Sus scrofa: one gene and its partner. The protein of the gene in region 1 interacts with the protein of each later gene in a pairwise test. Links are inferred from orthologs where the notes say so. Each region holds a gene or a part of one and is shown on either strand. Other genes may lie near its edges.

What was found. The genes of interacting proteins can lie anywhere in the genome.
Region 2: the proteins of EFEMP2 (region 1) and HOXA1 interact in a two-hybrid assay, tested with the Homo sapiens proteins (2 studies listed by BioGRID and IntAct). The link is inferred for Sus scrofa from reciprocal best matches to the Homo sapiens genes EFEMP2 and HOXA1.

What each region holds. Positions count from the first base shown.
Region 1 is NC_010444.4:6,453,885-6,457,996, forward strand, and holds the start of EFEMP2 (EGF-containing fibulin-like extracellular matrix protein 2), read left to right. Parts: upstream 1-1,270; 5' UTR 1,271-1,369; intron 1,370-1,726; 5' UTR 1,727-1,786; intron 1,787-2,094; 5' UTR 2,095-2,101; coding exon 2,102-2,212; intron 2,213-2,438; coding exon 2,439-2,487; intron 2,488-3,097; coding exon 3,098-3,304; intron 3,305-4,112. UniProt on the Homo sapiens protein: Plays a crucial role in elastic fiber formation in tissue, and in the formation of ultrastructural connections between elastic laminae and smooth muscle cells in the aorta, therefore participates in terminal differentiation and maturation of smooth muscle cell (SMC) and in the mechanical properties and wall integrity maintenance of the aorta.
Region 2 is NC_010460.4:45,476,143-45,480,372, forward strand, and holds HOXA1 (homeobox protein Hox-A1), read left to right. Parts: upstream 1-1,418; 5' UTR 1,419-1,517; coding exon 1,518-2,172; intron 2,173-2,653; coding exon 2,654-3,009; 3' UTR 3,010-4,164; downstream 4,165-4,230. UniProt on the Homo sapiens protein: Sequence-specific transcription factor. Regulates multiple developmental processes including brainstem, inner and outer ear, abducens nerve and cardiovascular development and morphogenesis as well as cognition and behavior.

The DNA.
Region 1 (4,112 bases):
GCTGCTGGTCTATGCCAGAACCACAGCAACACCAGATCTGAGCCACGTCTTTGACCTACACCACAGCTCACGTAATGCCAGATCCTTAACCCACTGAGCAAGGCCAGGGATCAAACCCAGGACCTCATGGATGCTAGTTGGGTTTGTTAACTGCTGAGCCATGAGGGGAACTCCTGTATTTTGGTTCTTATGACTAGTGTTGCTATGACCATCGTGCACAGGCTTTTGGTGTGGACATACGTTTTCAATGCCCCGGGCGTATACCTAGGCGGGACATCACTGGGGCATGTGTTCACATTTTGAGAACCTGCCAGACTGTTTTCCCCAGGAGTCCTCCCACTTTACATTCCCACCCACAGTGTATGACCGTTTCAAGGTTTCAATTTCTCCTTAACATCCCCGACACTTGTTATTGTCTGTCTTTTTGGTTTTAAGGAGTTATTATTTTTAGCCTCCTCCCCCGCCCTCACCCCAGGGATGCGGGGAGAGGGGGCTGCTTAGAGGATGTGGGGGAAGGGGAGGTAGGAGCTCTCCATTTCACCCTGAACCCGAAAGGGTCACCTCAGGACCCCCTGGAATGTCCTCTCCTTCACACACCCCCCTCGGGCGGGGCTGCTATAGGGGGCGATTATGAGGACCACTTGGGGTGGGAAAGGGCTTAACAGTTCCTGCTGGCCATCTGCCTCCAGGCAGGGGTTCCCTGGACACGCAGCCCTTTCCCGTCTGGCCCCGCCCTGAGACGTGGGCAGGGCGAGACCACGCCCCTTCCTGGGAGCCAGCTCCGCCCAATCTCCTCCCCTTAAGGCGCTCCGTCTCCCTGGGAAAAGAGGCAGACAGCCCGGGGCAGGGAGGTGGGGTGTGTGCGGGGGAGACATTGGTAGGAAGATGGCCAGGAAGGTGATGGCCCCGGACCCTGGAGCCCTGCACGCCCGAGTTCAGCCCTGCTCGACTTCTCAGGGGCTTCCATTCATTCTGAGCCAAAAGTGAACTGCCGCCCCCGCCCCAAACTGATGTAGCCTCAGGGACTGAGGGCCCGGGGGAGGCCGTCCTGGAGTGAAGGGACCGCCTGGCTGAAGACAGTCCCGGGGATGGAAGGGAGAAGGGACAGAACTGGACGGTTCTGGACCTGGGAGCGTCTCTCTTCTCAGGGCGAGGGTCTGGGGACCCTGGATGAAGTTGCGGTTGTGGTATTTCCAGAATAACTGTCCGGGTGCACAGAATAACACTCTGGTGGCGCAGAGTGAGGAGGATCTGCAAGTTCCAGGGTTAGGTGGAGTCTAAGGGCCCAGGATGACATTCTGGGAGGCGCAGAGTCTGGGTCCCTGGCATTAAGATGTGGGTGCACAGGAATTCCAGGGGTGCAGATTAGGTAAGGTCTAGGTGCGCAGGATGACATTTTTGGGTGCACAAACTGAGAGCCTGGGGGCTCCAGAGTGAGTTGGGGGCTTGACATCAGGGTCAATGCCCCAGGATCCTGTGCTAAGGGACCCTGGCCTGGCGCCGGGAGGCGGCTCCGGGCGGCGCCGCGGGGGACCGGGTGGGGCCTGTGGCCGGCCGGGGGCGGAGAAGCGGGGGTCGGGGTCCCTCCCCCTGGCGCGGGCTCAGGAATCCGCCGAGGGGCGGGCGGAGGCGCCGGGGTGGGCCGCGCCGCGGCAGGCGGGCGGGGGGCGCTTCCTGGGGCCGCGCGTCCAGGGAGCTGCGCTGTCCGCCTGTCCGTCTCCCGCAGGCACTACCGGAGCCAGCCGAGCCGCCGGAGCCGCGGGCCTCCGGGCCGTCACGGGCCCAAGTGAGTGGCCGTCCATGGGGGGAGGGCGCCAGCCAGAGTCTCGGCCGAGTCGGCGGCGTCAGCACCGAGCCAGAGGCCTGCGCTCCTCGGCCCGAGCCACTGGGGGACCGGGCGGGGGCGGGGCGACCCGGGGCGGGTGGGCCCTGAACCCCGGCCTGCGTGATCAGTCGACCCCCGGCCCTGGGAGGCTCCGAAGCCCCAGACACAGTCCCGGGCGGGTGGTGTCGGGGACCAGGTCTCTGAGTCCTGGTTCGGGCAATGGGGGATCCGTGGCCCAGACGCCCTGACCCCCACTCACTACCTCCCAGCCCCAGGATGCTCCCCTTCGCCTCCTGCCTCCCCGGGTCTCTACTGCTCTGGACGCTGCTGCTGTTGCTCTTGGGGGCAGCGTCTCCCCAGGATTCGGAGGAGCCCGACAGCTACACGGTGGGGACAGTGGAGCCCCTGGCCTGGGCTGGGCTGGGCAGGGACACCAAGACCAGGATCCTGGGGTGGCTGCTGCTGGGGCAGGTTCTCCCCTCCCCTGGTCCGTGGAGCAGCTGGAGCTGTTGTTTGGAGCAGGCGGGGAGGGTGGCCAAGCTTGGGCTCTGGTCTTGGCCTGGTCAGTTAGAGGAGAGGGGGTGACCACTGGCCACCTCTGGTCCCCCTGTAGGAATGCACAGATGGCTATGAGTGGGACCCCGACAGCCAGCACTGCCGGGGTGAGTATGCTTGGAGCACCAGGAAGTGGATTGCAACTCCAGCACGGAGAGCTGCTGTGGGAGTCAGTGGCCTGTCCCCTGCCCAGCTCTGCCTGGCCGTGGCCAGCTCTGGTTCTCAGGGGGCCAGCTTAGCTGGGGGTGGAGAAGCCATCCAGGCCCCTCCCTCTCAGAAAAACATGGGACAGCCTCCTCCCACCCCCCAGGAGTCCAGAGACCAACAGGGCGCTGCCCAGAGGCATGGTTCCTGGCCACCTCCTCTAATCACTTTCCCACCCAGCTTCGTGCCATCGTGACCTGGGAGGGCAGCGTCTGCGGGGGTGGGCGAGAAGGCCTGCACCTCACTCTTGGGCTGAGTTGGGACCAGGGCTCTGGGGCGGCATAGAGACCCTCTTGGGGATAAGAGAATGGAAGTGAGTGGAGCAAGAGCCAGCCTGCCACCAGCCCTGGTGGCACTGGGAAGTGGTCCTGGGCAGGCAGCCTTAGCTGAGGAGAGTGGGAAGGCCCTTCCTGGGTCACGCAGCTTAGAGGAGGCTGCACTGGGCTCCTGCCGCCCACCCCCTCCGTGGCCAGCCCAGGAGACTGGCTGTGCCCAGCAGGCCCCTCTCCGCAGATGTCAATGAATGCCTGACCATCCCCGAGGCCTGCAAGGGGGAAATGAAATGTATCAACCACTACGGGGGCTACTTGTGCCTGCCCCGCTCGGCGGCTGTCATCAATGACCTGCATGGCGAGGGACCACCACCACCAGTGTCCCCTGCTGAACACGCCACCCCCTGCCTACCAGGCTATGAACCGGATGAGCAAGAGAACTGCGTGGGTGAGTGAGGGTCGGTTGCCCTGGTGCTGAGGCTTCCAATCCTTCTATCAAGTGTCTATCACTGCATTTTAAAAACTCACAGCTCATGTTCCTCCCTGGCTCAAAAGCTTCCTCGGGGGAGTTCCCGTCGTGGCGCAGTGGTTAACGAATCCGACTAGGAACCATGAGGTTGCGGGTTCGGTCCCTGCCCTTGCTCAGTGGGTTAAAGATCCGGCGTTGCCGTGAGCTGTGGTGTAGGTTGCAGACGCAGCTCGGATCCCGCGTTGCTGTGGCTCTGGCGTCGTAGGCCGGTGGCTACAGCCCCAATTCAACCCCTAGCCTGGGAACCTCCATATGCCGCGGAAGTGGCCCAAGAAATAGCAACAACAACAAAAAAGACAAAATAAATAAATAAATAAATAAAATAAATAAATAAAAAAATAAAAAGCTTCCTCGGGGCCGCTGGCATAATAATATCCAGCCCCTTGTCCAGATCCTCACTGTGGGGGGCCTGCCCAGCTCCCGTCCCATGCCCAGCCAGCTTCCGGGATCCTCCTTTTGATCACTGCAGGTGCACCGCGGGAGCGCTCGCTGTCAGCCTCTTCCCCTTTCCTGGTTTGCACCCCACTCCTGGGTGCTATAGGCCTCAGAAGAAGGTTCTGGAATCAATCAGTGTTCCTGGGAGCATGGACAGGGCCTTATTTCCTCTGCTTCCCTGACATGGGGTCTCCCAGGGTAGGGGTGCCGATATCCCAGGGACTCCAGACCAGCAGATTCTTATTTGTGCTGTTGGGTGGGCTGTGCGTTCCTGTTTTGGGGGTGTCAGTCA
Region 2 (4,230 bases), on another chromosome or scaffold:
GGGTAGGCTGAGGGTGATGGAGAACAGGACTCCTGTCCTGGGATGACGCTCAGATTTGCACGTGTCTCTCTAGGGAAGGACTTGAAGGTTCACACAGGGAACCACACAGCCAGTTTACAAAAGGGAGGAGGTGTTGTTGGGGAAGAAGAAAATGTCCTGTCCACCATCAGCCATCTGTCCACTGCCCCTCCCACCTGCCAGCCCCCACCCCCACTTCAGCTGTGCAGTAGAATGGGGGGGGGGTGGATGAAGGAAGCTCTAGCACGCCTAACATTCGCCTCCAGGAAACGAGAAACGTTTCTGGGGGTGGCGGGGTGGGAGGGGAGGTGGAGGGGGAGTTCATCGTACTTCACTGTGGTCTCGCCCTTTGAGGCCCAGGTCGGTGTACACAGGCTCCTGGGTCCTAGGGAGCCGGCAGATGGCCTGCAGCGCACGGCCCGGCCCCCACGCTGGCCACGTCGGCTAGCGTCATCTCTCTCCCCCGCCTCCTACCCCTCAAAATCCGGCAGCAGAGTTGCTCCGGATCCCGCAGGGCTCCCAGAACAGAGCTGAGTGGGGAGGAGAAAGGGGCGGAGAGCGAGGAGAGAGGGAGGGCGAAGAGCCGGGCCACCCCCGGCCTTTTCCGGCAAGCTTAGCTCCCAAGGTTCACCCGTTCCCGAGCATCGAATTACAGCAGCTCCCCGTTGCCACGCTAACAGCTCGTGGGGGTGGGGGAGGAACGGGGGCTTCAAGACCCTACAGGGAGAGGGAAGTTTCCTTTCTTGCGCTTGTCCCCTCCACGCCCACTCGGGTTCCCCCAGCCAGCCCTCTGCGCACTTCCCTCTCCTTCCGGAGACCTGGTGGTGGCCCAGCCTCGTCCCCCGCCACCGTTCTCGGCTCTCCTCACTGCCCCCAAGGCATCACAGAAGGGACGGCAGTGAAAGCGCCCGGGGAGCGACCCTTCCAGTTCCTCGCGTTCCGGGCTCAGCCAGTGTGCAAGTGGCGGCCCAGCGAGCTCCCTCCCACTGACTCCCGACCCAAGAGAGCGCGGAGCCCTCTTGGCGTCTCACCTCTTGCCAGTTCCTCTTTCTGTGCACGGTGGGGAGGGGGGCGGTGACCGAGGATGGCTCTCAGCCCCCACCTCCCGGAGGGGGGCGATCGGAGTCGGCCACTCGCAGAAGGCAGCCCCTGCTCCCCTTCGCCCCAACGCTGGGAATCTGCCCCTGCAGCCGCCGCAGCTGCTGCTGCCGCCCGGGCTGCCTGGGGGGGCGACTGCGCGTCACCTAGACTGAGGAGCGCCGGGGATTTAAATGCCACTGAAAGGGTGATCCATCACCGCAGGAGCCAGCAAACTTTCGCAGGAGGCTCCGCCATTGGCTGAGAGAGTCACGTGCCCCTCCCCTAGCGCCCTCCGCCCTCCCGCCCCCCCTCTTGCGCACTGTACATTCATATCATTTTTCTTCTCCGGCCCCATGGAGGAAGTGAGAAAGTTGGCACGGTCACTCAGGGCTTCGCAGGACCCGGTCACTCAGTGACAGATGGACAATGCAAGAATGAGCTCCTTCCTGGAATACCCCATCCTCAGCGGTGGCGACTCGGGGACCTGCTCAGCGCGAGCCTACCCCTCCGACCATGGAATTACAACTTTCCAGTCGTGCGCGGTCAGTGCCAATAGCTGTGGCGGCGACGACCGCTTCCTAGTGGGCAGGGGGGTGCAGATCAGCCCGCCCCACCACCACCACCACCACCACCACCATCACCACCCCCAGCCGGCCACCTACCAGACTCCTGGGAACCTGGGGGTGTCCTACTCCCACTCGAGTTGTGGTCCAAGCTACGGCGCGCAGAACTTTGGCGCGCCTTACAGCTCCTACGCGTTAAATCAGGAAGCAGAAGTAAGTGGTGGGTACCCCACGTGCGCTCCCGCTGTTTACTCTGGAAATCTCTCATCTCCCATGGTCCAGCATCACCACCACCACCAGGGTTATGCCGGGGGCGCGGTGGGCTCGCCTCAATATATTCACCACTCATATGGACAAGAGCATCAGAGCCTGGCCCTGGCCACGTATAATAACTCCTTGTCCCCTCTCCACGCCAGCCACCAAGAAGCCTGCCGCTCCCCTGCATCAGAGACGTCTTCTCCAGCGCAGACATTTGACTGGATGAAAGTCAAAAGGAACCCTCCCAAAACAGGTCAGTCTTGCCCTTCCATGAATGATCCTTGATTATTCAGGAAGGAGCCGGTATGCTTAGTTTCCAAGGAAAATTAATCAAGGTTTTGTTTTGTTTTTTTCTTTAAAATTCTTGCTTCCCACCGGTGTTGTAGGGTGTTGGGAGGCTGCCCAGGTGTGGTTGGCACAAAGGAACATCTGGGATTGTTGTGTTTCCAAGGGGGCTGAGTTTTAGAGGTTTTGGAAGTAGGACGTGGGAAAGTGGGTAGGTGTGTATGTGTGTGTTAATATCTCCAGGCTCCATTAATCACTGGTCTGACCATGCTAATGGGTGACTTCAGATGAACGCTTTACACCTCATCACTCACCCTCCCAAGCCCGGCTTGTGTTGAGAAATTCTTGATTCCCCCTTTGCCTGAATCTTGCTCTGAAGCCTACAGGGACTCTCATATCGAATATAAATTTTTTCCCCTTTTTTCCCCATCGCTTCCCCTTGCCCTCAGGGAAAGTTGGCGAGTACGGCTACGTGGGTCAGCCCAACGCGGTGCGGACCAACTTCACCACCAAGCAGCTCACGGAGCTGGAGAAGGAGTTTCACTTCAATAAGTACCTGACGCGGGCCCGCAGGGTGGAGATCGCCGCGTCCTTGCAGCTCAATGAGACCCAGGTGAAGATCTGGTTCCAGAACCGCCGAATGAAGCAGAAGAAACGAGAGAAGGAGGGCCTCTTGCCCATCTCTCCAGCCACCCCACCGGGCAGTGAGGAGAAGGCCGAGGAATCCTCCGAGAAGTCCAGCTCCTCGCCCTGCGTTCCTTCCCCGGGGTCTGCTACCTCAGACACTCTACCTACCTCCCACTGAGGCCGCCCCAGCCCCAGACTCGACTCTTCCGGCTGGGACTTCTTTCCCAAAGCACATTCTTAGCTTATCTTCCTGTCCATTTACAATCTCTCTCTTCCTCTCTGATCCTATCTGGGGAACTCCTGGCCAGGATACTGTGTTTCCAGTGAATTCTGGATTAGAGACTGGTGTGGGGGCAGGGGAGTGCTAGCTCCGCAATGCAAATTGAGTGCCAACATCAATTTTCTCAAGGCCCCTAACGCCCCTAGTTTTAGGAGATTTCTTTGACAGACCCTACAGTTCCTTTCAGATGCCCTTTGGAAAATAGTCTCCTTTGCCAGCAGAAACATGTCAGAGGGAGGCCTCTCATCTTATATCTAACCGTGTATTTACAGTTCTCCCCTACTCTGCCCTTAAAGTAGGATAGAGAGAGAAGAGAGTCCAGGAGCTCATGAGGAAGAGATGCACTATGAGCGTGTTTACACAATTAATTCACCCCTTAATTTAACTCAGTTTCATGTGTGTGAGTCTGCTGGTTGTAAATACTTTGTCCTGAAAGATTTATCTTTATACAGATTTTCTAGAAATGTTTAGATTAAGGGATGAAAATAGGGTGGGCAAACTCTCTAAGCTGGTACAACTTTGTATGTGATTATAGGTTAAAGACTAAAAGCTCCCAGTAAAATCAATCAGAGGCCTCAGAGGGTCGCCTCCGTTTGTTCTTTCAGCAAGTTAAGAAAGCCTGCAGCATAAAGGGTCAGAAACCTGGCTCCCTGGGCTGAGTCTCTCCCCATCCCCACGCCTTTCTCCTTTCTCTGGCCACACTCTTTCAAATTTGCGCTGGAGTATTCAGGACCCAAACGTATTATTTCACACCAGCTTCTTCCCTCCACAGTTATTGTAGCTGGATATGATGTATTTTTAGCTCAGTTGTTAATGTGATGGATGGCACAATGAATGTATATTTTGTGTGATTCGTGAATAGTCTTTTGCATGTCGCACAATGTCTTGATGTTCCCGAAGTACCACACTGAGTTTTATCAGTTATCCTTTGTGATAGTTCCCATTTCCTGTACAATCATGAACAGCTCCGAGATCCCAGAAGGATGTGATCCAGAGCAGAGTTTACGGGTCTTAAGATGTCTGTAATAAATATATTCAAGTTTCAGATATGCTTAAGCATCTCTGTGTCTGGCTTGGCTACAATTTGTTGGTCCCTACAAAGTTGGCTCCTTTCCTGTG